Oryctolagus cuniculus: one gene and its partner. The main gene of each other region encodes a partner of the protein of the gene in region 2 in a complex. Links are inferred from orthologs where the notes say so. Each region holds a gene or a part of one and is shown on either strand. Other genes may lie near its edges.

What was found.
Region 1: the proteins of OPRM1 (region 2) and POMC are in contact, whole or in part, in a cryo-EM structure (PDB 8F7Q), measured with the Homo sapiens proteins. The link is inferred for Oryctolagus cuniculus from reciprocal best matches to the Homo sapiens genes OPRM1 and POMC. Residues at the interface, in NP_000905.3 of Homo sapiens: Ser66, Met67, Ala70, Ile71, Met74, Gln126, Asn129, Tyr130, Leu131, Met132, Gly133, Trp135, Val145, Ile146, Asp149, Tyr150, Met153, Arg213, Ile217, Asp218, Cys219, Thr220, Glu231, Lys235, Val238, Ile298, Val302, Lys305, Trp320, Ile324; in NP_000930.1 of Homo sapiens: Tyr237, Gly238, Gly239, Phe240, Met241, Thr242, Ser243, Glu244, Lys245, Thr248, Pro249, Leu250, Val251, Leu253.

Annotation. Positions count from the first base shown.
Region 1 is NC_091433.1:177,511,450-177,514,582, forward strand, and holds the end of POMC (pro-opiomelanocortin), read left to right. Parts: 5' UTR 1-32; coding exon 33-149; intron 150-1,779; coding exon 1,780-2,373; 3' UTR 2,374-2,428; downstream 2,429-3,133.
Region 2 is NC_091436.1:13,655,933-13,660,364, reverse strand, and holds the start of OPRM1 (mu-type opioid receptor), read left to right. Parts: upstream 1-1,497; 5' UTR 1,498-1,630; coding exon 1,631-1,923; intron 1,924-4,432. UniProt on the Homo sapiens protein: Receptor for endogenous opioids such as beta-endorphin and endomorphin. Receptor for natural and synthetic opioids including morphine, heroin, DAMGO, fentanyl, etorphine, buprenorphin and methadone.

The DNA of each region.
Region 1 (3,133 bases), on a different chromosome or scaffold from region 2:
TTGCCTCTGCAGAGCCGCAGCCTGCCTGGAAGATGCTGAGGTCGGGGGCTCTGCTGCTGGCCGTGTTGCTTCAGGCCTCCATGGAAGTGCGTGGCTGGTGCCTGGAGAGCAGCCAGTGTCAGGAGCTCACCACGGAAAGCCACCTGCTGGTACGTGGGCCGTCACTGCCATCTTGACTTGGGCATCAGATGGGACTGGAGCCGCGACAGCTCAGAAGCAGCAGCGTGGGGAAGGGAAGTTCCTTCCCAGTGACAGGGCTGACCCAACCCGGCAGGAGCAGAACGAGCTTCGGGCTGTGCTGGGGCGGGGGCGGGGGCGGGAGGCGTGGTGGAAGCAGCTCCAGGGAGATGGGTCTGCCCCGCAGGTCCTGCTTGGTCATCCTTCCCCTCTGCCCTGTCTTCTTTGGACACTATTGATTGATTGATTGTTCATTTAGAGACAGTGTCCTAGTAATGTTAGCGGCTCCCTCAGTCCTGTATTTTAACCTCACAGTCTCTGCATTATTCTGTCTCCAAGAACCGCATGTTCCTTGCCATTTCCCCTTTGTATTTCTTCTCCTTTTATCTACTACCATTTACAAAGCTAGAGCGGTAGCTCTACGAAGGGTCTTTAGAGGGAGAAGGAAAAACCAAGGTACCCTTTTTTTGGGGTAACTGGTACCCGGTGTCTCACGCTGCTTCTGGAAGGCTGGCCTTCTGCTAAGCGCCTCTTTGATCTTTCCAGTAGTTACATGTGCTGGCAGGGGTGTGTGTGTGTGGGTGTGTGTGTGTGCGCGTGCGTGCACACGCTGGCACCTGCCAGTCGGGGGTGCAATGCACACTGCTGCATTGTGTTTCGTCTGTGGAGAAGCCGAGTGAAGGTGGAGTTAGGGCAGGCTGCACGTGTGACATAAAGCAGGGCAGGACGCCCGGGGGTCCGTGAGTTCCAGTCCCGAGAGACCAGGAGACAGCCCCGGGAGAGCTCACCCGGGGAAGGTGCCCCGGACGCACTCAGGGCCACCTGTGCTGCCTCACGCTGGGGGGCTCGGGCCTGCGCCTCCCGCTTCATGCCCGGTCCAGGGAGGGCGTTTGCCTCAGTTTTTATTTGCTACTGCTCCCGTCTGTGCATCCCGAATGGTAAATCCCTGGGGTGGGAAAGTCCGCTGAACCCAGACGTTTTGTTTTCTCCTCTGTAAGCTTTCAAGTGACAGAAATCTCCAGGCTGCAGCCATGCGGTCACCTTGCTAAGCAAAACGGACCACAGTCGAGCCCTCTGTGGACAGGGAGCAGAGGCCCGGGCTCCACGCGGCTCTCCCTCGGGCCAGAGAGAGGCGACAGGGAAGTGAGCCGCTCTGTGTCGGCAAGGGGATGGGGCCATCAGCTCCCTGAAAGCCAGGGGAAGGGCCTGGAGCAGGGATAGGGCTGGGGGGTACTGAGCACGCAGGACCCTCCCCCGCCAGACCCGCAATGCTCCCAGTCCTCCATTGCCCGGTATTTACGTAGTCATTGGTTCAGCAGTAAGTGCCACCCCCCAGCACCCTCCACCTGCCCTTCTGGGCAGTTCCTTTCAGGCAAAGCGTTGGCCTTGCCCACAAGAGCCACGGGCACAGGCCACCCACCGAGAGCGCGCTGGGCGTCGCCGGTGGTCGTCGGGGTGCGTGCCTGCTAGCGACACCGCGGCCACGCGCCCCGGGGGCACAGACCAGCCCCGCCAGTGGTCGCAGGGGTGTGTGCCTGCGAGCCACGCGCTGGTCGCGTCGCTGTCGCCGCGCCCGGGCTCACGGCCTCGCCCTCCCCGCAGCAGTGCCTCCGCGCTTGCCAGCTCGACCGCTCGGCCGAGACGCCCGTGTTCCCCGGCAACGGCGACGCGCAGCCGCTCACCGAGAGCCCCCGGAGGTACGTCATGGGCCACTTCCGCTGGGACCGCTTCGGCCGCCGGAACGGCAGCAGCGGCGGCGGCGCGGGGCAGAAGCGCGAGCAGGAGCAGGTCGCGGCGGCCGGGGACCGCGGCGATGGCGCCGAGCCCGGCCCGCGCGAGGGCAAGCGCTCCTACTCCATGGAGCACTTCCGCTGGGGCAAGCCGGTGGGCAAGAAGCGGCGCCCGGTGAAGGTGTACCCCAACGGCGCCGAGAACGAGTCGGCCGAGGCCTTCCCCGTCGAGGTCAAGCGCGAGCTGGCCGACGGCCCGGCCGAGGACGCGGACCCGGAGTACGGCCTGGTGGCGGCGGCCGAGAAGAAGGATGAGGGCCCCTACAGGATGGAGCACTTCCGCTGGGGCAGCCGGCCCAAGGACAAGCGCTACGGCGGCTTCATGTCGTCGGAGAAGGGCCAGACGCCGCTGGTGACGCTGTTCCGCAACGCCATCGTCAAGAACGCGCACAAGAAGGGCCCGTGAGCGCCGCCTCCCCGCGCCGCCTGTCCTTAGGAAATAAACCCGTTTTCCCATTTCACACCGCCTCCGGCTCTGAGTGTAGACCGCGAGCCGCGGCGCCGAGCCCAGCGCGCCCGGGGAGCCTGGCTGGTGGCCCCGGAGCCGCTCCGTGTCCACCCCACCCCCCTTGCCGGGTTCGCGCAAGCTGTGGACGCCCCCTGGGTCTGAGGCCTCCGTTTTCATCACTGGGGAGCTGAGTGTGGGTGTGGCCTCACGTCTCCCCTACACACACACACACACACACACACACATACACACACACACCTGTTGCAGGCCCTCCGACTCTCGCCCCCGGCTGGACTGGGCCCCTCCCTCCCTCCCCGGGCCTGGCTGCAGCCCTCATCCTCACTCCCCACCCGCCTCTAGTGGCTCTCCTGCCACACCCGTGCTACACAGATTCCTCAGAGCGATGTGCGCAAAAATCTGGTTTTCTCCACATCCGCTGGCTCAAGAACCAAAGAGCACCCCCACTTCCCAATTTCCCATCCATCCCCACCCCTGGGCATGGCACCCAGGGTGCCAGTCACTCTGCTCGCGCTCATTACCAAGGCGCCTGCCCCAAGGTACCCCGGATGAAGGCCCCGCTCCTCTCCCCACCAACTTCTTCCCTGCGGGGCTCCCGCACCTCCCCCTGCCATACTGAATGAGGCTGTTTGCCACCTGAGTCCAGGCTTAGGTCAGCCCCTGCCCGCCGAGTCCTGCAGCTGCCAGCCCGCTCTCGCTG
Region 2 (4,432 bases):
AGTTTATATGTGTTGGTTTTATGGATCCTCAAAGGACAGAATGAATAGCAGAGCTCAGCGCAAATGAGATGACACATTAAATCAAAGTCTATAATGTTTTTAGGCATTTTTACTAGTCTTCATAAAAGAACTTATTGCTGAAATTACACCCTTTAATAATAAAGTATAAAAATAACACTGAACATTGGCAATATCTCCTATGATTAATACAGCTTACCTTTGAGTTATCTGTTTTCAAGACAGATGGCCTAAAAGTAATATTGGAATTAAAAGCTGATTTCAGGTTTCCCTCTTCCCTGCTCACAAAACACTGCAGTTATTCCATCAGCAATTGGGAATATTTATTTCCAGTGTTTATGGCTAAAAGATATTTTCATGCACAGAAATGAGAATTACTGCAGAATTAGTGTTGGTTTTTTACAAATAATATTCTTACTGTATTTACATTTTTTTTAATTGGAAGAGCTCACGGACTTAAAAGTGAATACAAATTTTTTTAATGTATCATTGTTCCTCGAGAACATTTTGTGGGCTACTCCAAGCGCAGAAGTTTATGTACTTCCTCCTGGAATGTCTACACTAGAAAACGGAATGAAATAAAACAAAATTTGTTGGGTTTAACAGCCTTCTTCTGAAAAGTATACGCCTATCTGGTATGTTCGCAGATGGAATGTATAATCATTCTGAAAGGGTCTTGGAGACCTCAGATGTGGATCAGTAATATCTTCAGTTGACTTTTTTGCATGTCACAATCTACCTAATTCTATGGAAGGATGCAAATGGAACATCTATTCTTAGAGAAACTGAAACAATGAAAAATAAAGGGAGCAGGTTTCTTCCACAAAGTTTATTTATTTATTTATTTATTTTCATAGAGATCCTTTCTATGAAAATAAATAAATAAATAAATAAATAAAGGATCTCTCTGGGTACAGACAGGTTTGTAGAGTTGGAAATTTCAAAGACATGATTGTCTTCTGTCAGATGAGGCGATGTAGAGGAAAGAGGATCTTGTGCCCCCTACCTCCAATAATTGTGGTGGGCCATAGAGATGGAAGGGCATTGGGGCTCAAGGGCTGTTAGAGTTATAGCGTGCCAGTGTCTTTCCTCGTAGATTAAAAAGAGAAACCGGCGCTGGAAAAATGGAGATCTATCAGCCCCCTCGTTTATGCTTCCCTGCTATCAAAAGTAGCTCTGTTCCTCTCTGGCCACCCCTCCCCTCCAGCTCCCTTCCAGCTCCGCCCGCCCTCGAGGTGTTTGCTCTCAAGAGCGCGAAGGGTGAGGACCAACTCCTCCGATTGCTTTGCGCAAAATCCACCTCCCCCCTCCTCCTCCCCTCCAGCCTGCGGAGCCCGCACCGCCTGCCTTGCCCTCCTCAGCCCTGTGGTGCCGGGTTGGGATGAGCCTCTGTGTACTACGAAGGTGGGAGGGGCCACCAGCAGAGGATAATGTCAGACGCTCCGCTGTCGCCTTTTGCCTGACGCTGCTTTTGGCTCCGCGAGGCTGGTCCCGGTAAGAAACCGCAAAGAGCTGCGGCCGCCGTGGCCAGAGCCAGTGGCTGAAGCGCCCAGAGTCCGAGTCCCAAGGCTCCCGACTAGCTGGCCTCCCGCTCCCCAGCGCCGTCAGCACCATGGACAGCAGCGCCGTCCCAGCGAGCGCAAGCAATTGCACTGATCCCTTTGCGCACTCCTCCAGTTGCTCCCCAGCACCCAGCCCCGGGTCCTGGGTCAATTTGTCCCACTTCGATAGCAACCTGTCCGACCCGTGTGGACCGAACCGCACCGAACTGGGCGGACGCGACGGCCTGTGCCCCCCGACCGGCAGTCCCTCCATGGTCACAGCCGTCACTATCATGGCCATCTACTCCATCGTGTGCGTGGTGGGTCTCTTCGGAAACTTCCTGGTCATGTACGTGATCATCAGGTAAGGAGGGCGCCAGGGCTGTGAACGGGGAGTTCAGCGGCTAAAAGGGCTCCCAAAAGGCCCTTGCATCCCAAGACTAAGCGTGTGGTTGGGGGCGACCCCAGATGGAGCGGTTGCTGTGTGTGTTTGTGGATGGGGAGCTACTTTTCTATTTTTTTTCTTCCACTGGTAAAGAAAAAATCCAAAAATTCAGGAACAGAGAAGCTGTTTTGATAAAAGGCATAAAGCTCTGGGGGTGAGAGTTGGGGGAAAATGCTTCATGTTGAAGCTCTCCCTTGTACAGAGACAAGAAAACTCTTGGCACAGAGTCCTACGGTGGCTCCCTTTGCAAGAGCTATGGCATCATAAGTTGTGAAGAATGGGGGAGGACGTTTAGGTGTGTTTTTTTCCGAATTGGGAGGCTGAGTCCACTCAGGTGGCAACTTTCCTACTTTTGCTGGTACAGGAGGACTTCTCTGTAGACAGCCCCACCCCTGATCTTCACGTGTACCTATTCCTGCTTCCACCCTAAGGCCACATGAGGCAGAGGAAGTTTTCCTGGTATCTCTCCCTGGTAATGTCACTTTGTTACCTCCACCCTTTGCAGTTGACAGCTGTGGTTCTGCTACAGCAATTGCAAGCTGCATCTTGAGTGGGTAGGGTGGTTCAGGAGAACAGAATTGTTTTTCAGTGTCTCCACACATTGGAACAGATGAAGAGTGACCCATCATAATTCTCCATTAGAAACTGTTACATAGGAAGTTGTCATAGGCACTCTGGGAAAAAGAAAATGTGTCTTTAGTAAAATTATTTCGAAAGAATTTATGGTTTACTGTCTGTTTCCCAGATGTTCCAGCTTCATTAGACAAGGGGTGAGCAAATTTTCAATATTGAATGAGATTGATGTTGTTTGTGTTGGTCTTGATATGTATACCAAACACATCATGTGAATGTGGAATACTAAATATTCACTTTTTAAGAAGTAAACAAATATTTTTAGCTGTTTAACATAGTTCCTTAGTAAGGCTTGTTTCTTCCCATTGGGGGTTGTAGGTATGCAGCCAATGTGTCATTTTCATATTTAGTTACAGTGTTTGCTTCACCTATTCAGCAAGTATTTCGCAGGTTTCAGTGGAGTACTTGAATCCTTTAACAAATAATCACTGTTCCCATTATGCTTTCCTTAGCAAAGTGCTGCAAATTGCTTGTAATTGACTTGTCCTATTTATATGCCTGATTTCTTTAATTAATGTTTGTTAAAAAGTAAAGCTAATTTCCCTGATACTTTGATAAGCAATAAAATAAGAAAGTGTCTCTGAGAAAAGAGCACCATCTATTGAGTGGACAGCTAACAACAGAAGGAAAATTTCAGGAAAAGAATCAATGAAAGAATTTATTTTAAAAAAAACTGCTTTCTGTAATTCAATAAAAAATTCATATCAGAGAAAAAACTAGTCTTATTCTGCAATTACGACAATAAAAAGTATAATTGAAGGTCTACTCTTAAAAAAGAAAATGTTTCTCATTTATCCCTTTAAAAATCACATAGACTGATAAAACTAGAATGACTACAGATTATCTTTGCTCTGTGAATAAAAGGTAAAGAAAATATAAATGATTCCTCTTAGATATCACTATGCTCATAAATGTGTATACATGAAATTTGTTCACTTTATATAAATAAAAAAGTTGAAAAAAGATACCACTGAACCAATCTTAGCTAGCATAATTTTCTGTTTGTTAAGATGACAAACCATGATTTAAATTAGCCAACTACTAGATTGACAGAGTAGATTTAGTCAGCAGTAATAATGATAGAACAATAAATTATCAAAAATGTATATCTATGGAATCCTGGAGCAAAAAACACGATATAAATTACTGAGACATCTATAAACTCCACCATCTGAATCATGATCTTTTATCCCCTTTCATTGCTTCTCCTTAGCATTTTACTCCCTCCCCCCACCCTCTAGTTTATTCTCTGCTATAAGGAGACATCCAATAGCACAGAAATAGGCTGTGAAATAAACAGATTGGCTTTATTCCAGTGTTTAAGAGGTTGTTACTTGGGTGAGTTTGTTTTAAAGGCATTACTTCTGGCTCCTTGTTGACTTGGAGAAACATGGTGACATTGCATCTTACTGAGAACGTGATATTATGCTTTCTTCTCTGTACTGAAAGTTCTGAAAAAAATGCAGTACTCTTTTAAATGTCACCCCAAACATCCACCTGTGGTAGGTTGAGTGTTTAATTCCAAGGTCAGATAACCCTCTGAGGATTTGACTGTGAAACAGAAAACTAGGCAGTTCAATGACAAATGATGTGATGGGAAGAGCATCTAAGGATGGAAGAAACTGTGTCAGTTTATCTGATATTATTTAACTGACTGCCTCCACTCCAAAGTTTTAACTATCAACTGATGAGTTCAGGGATATTACTAACTACTAACAAGATGGCTTAATGCTGCCTTTATTGAAGTACTGAAGAGAAATGCTCACTTCCTCTCACTATTTAAAATCCAGAGCAC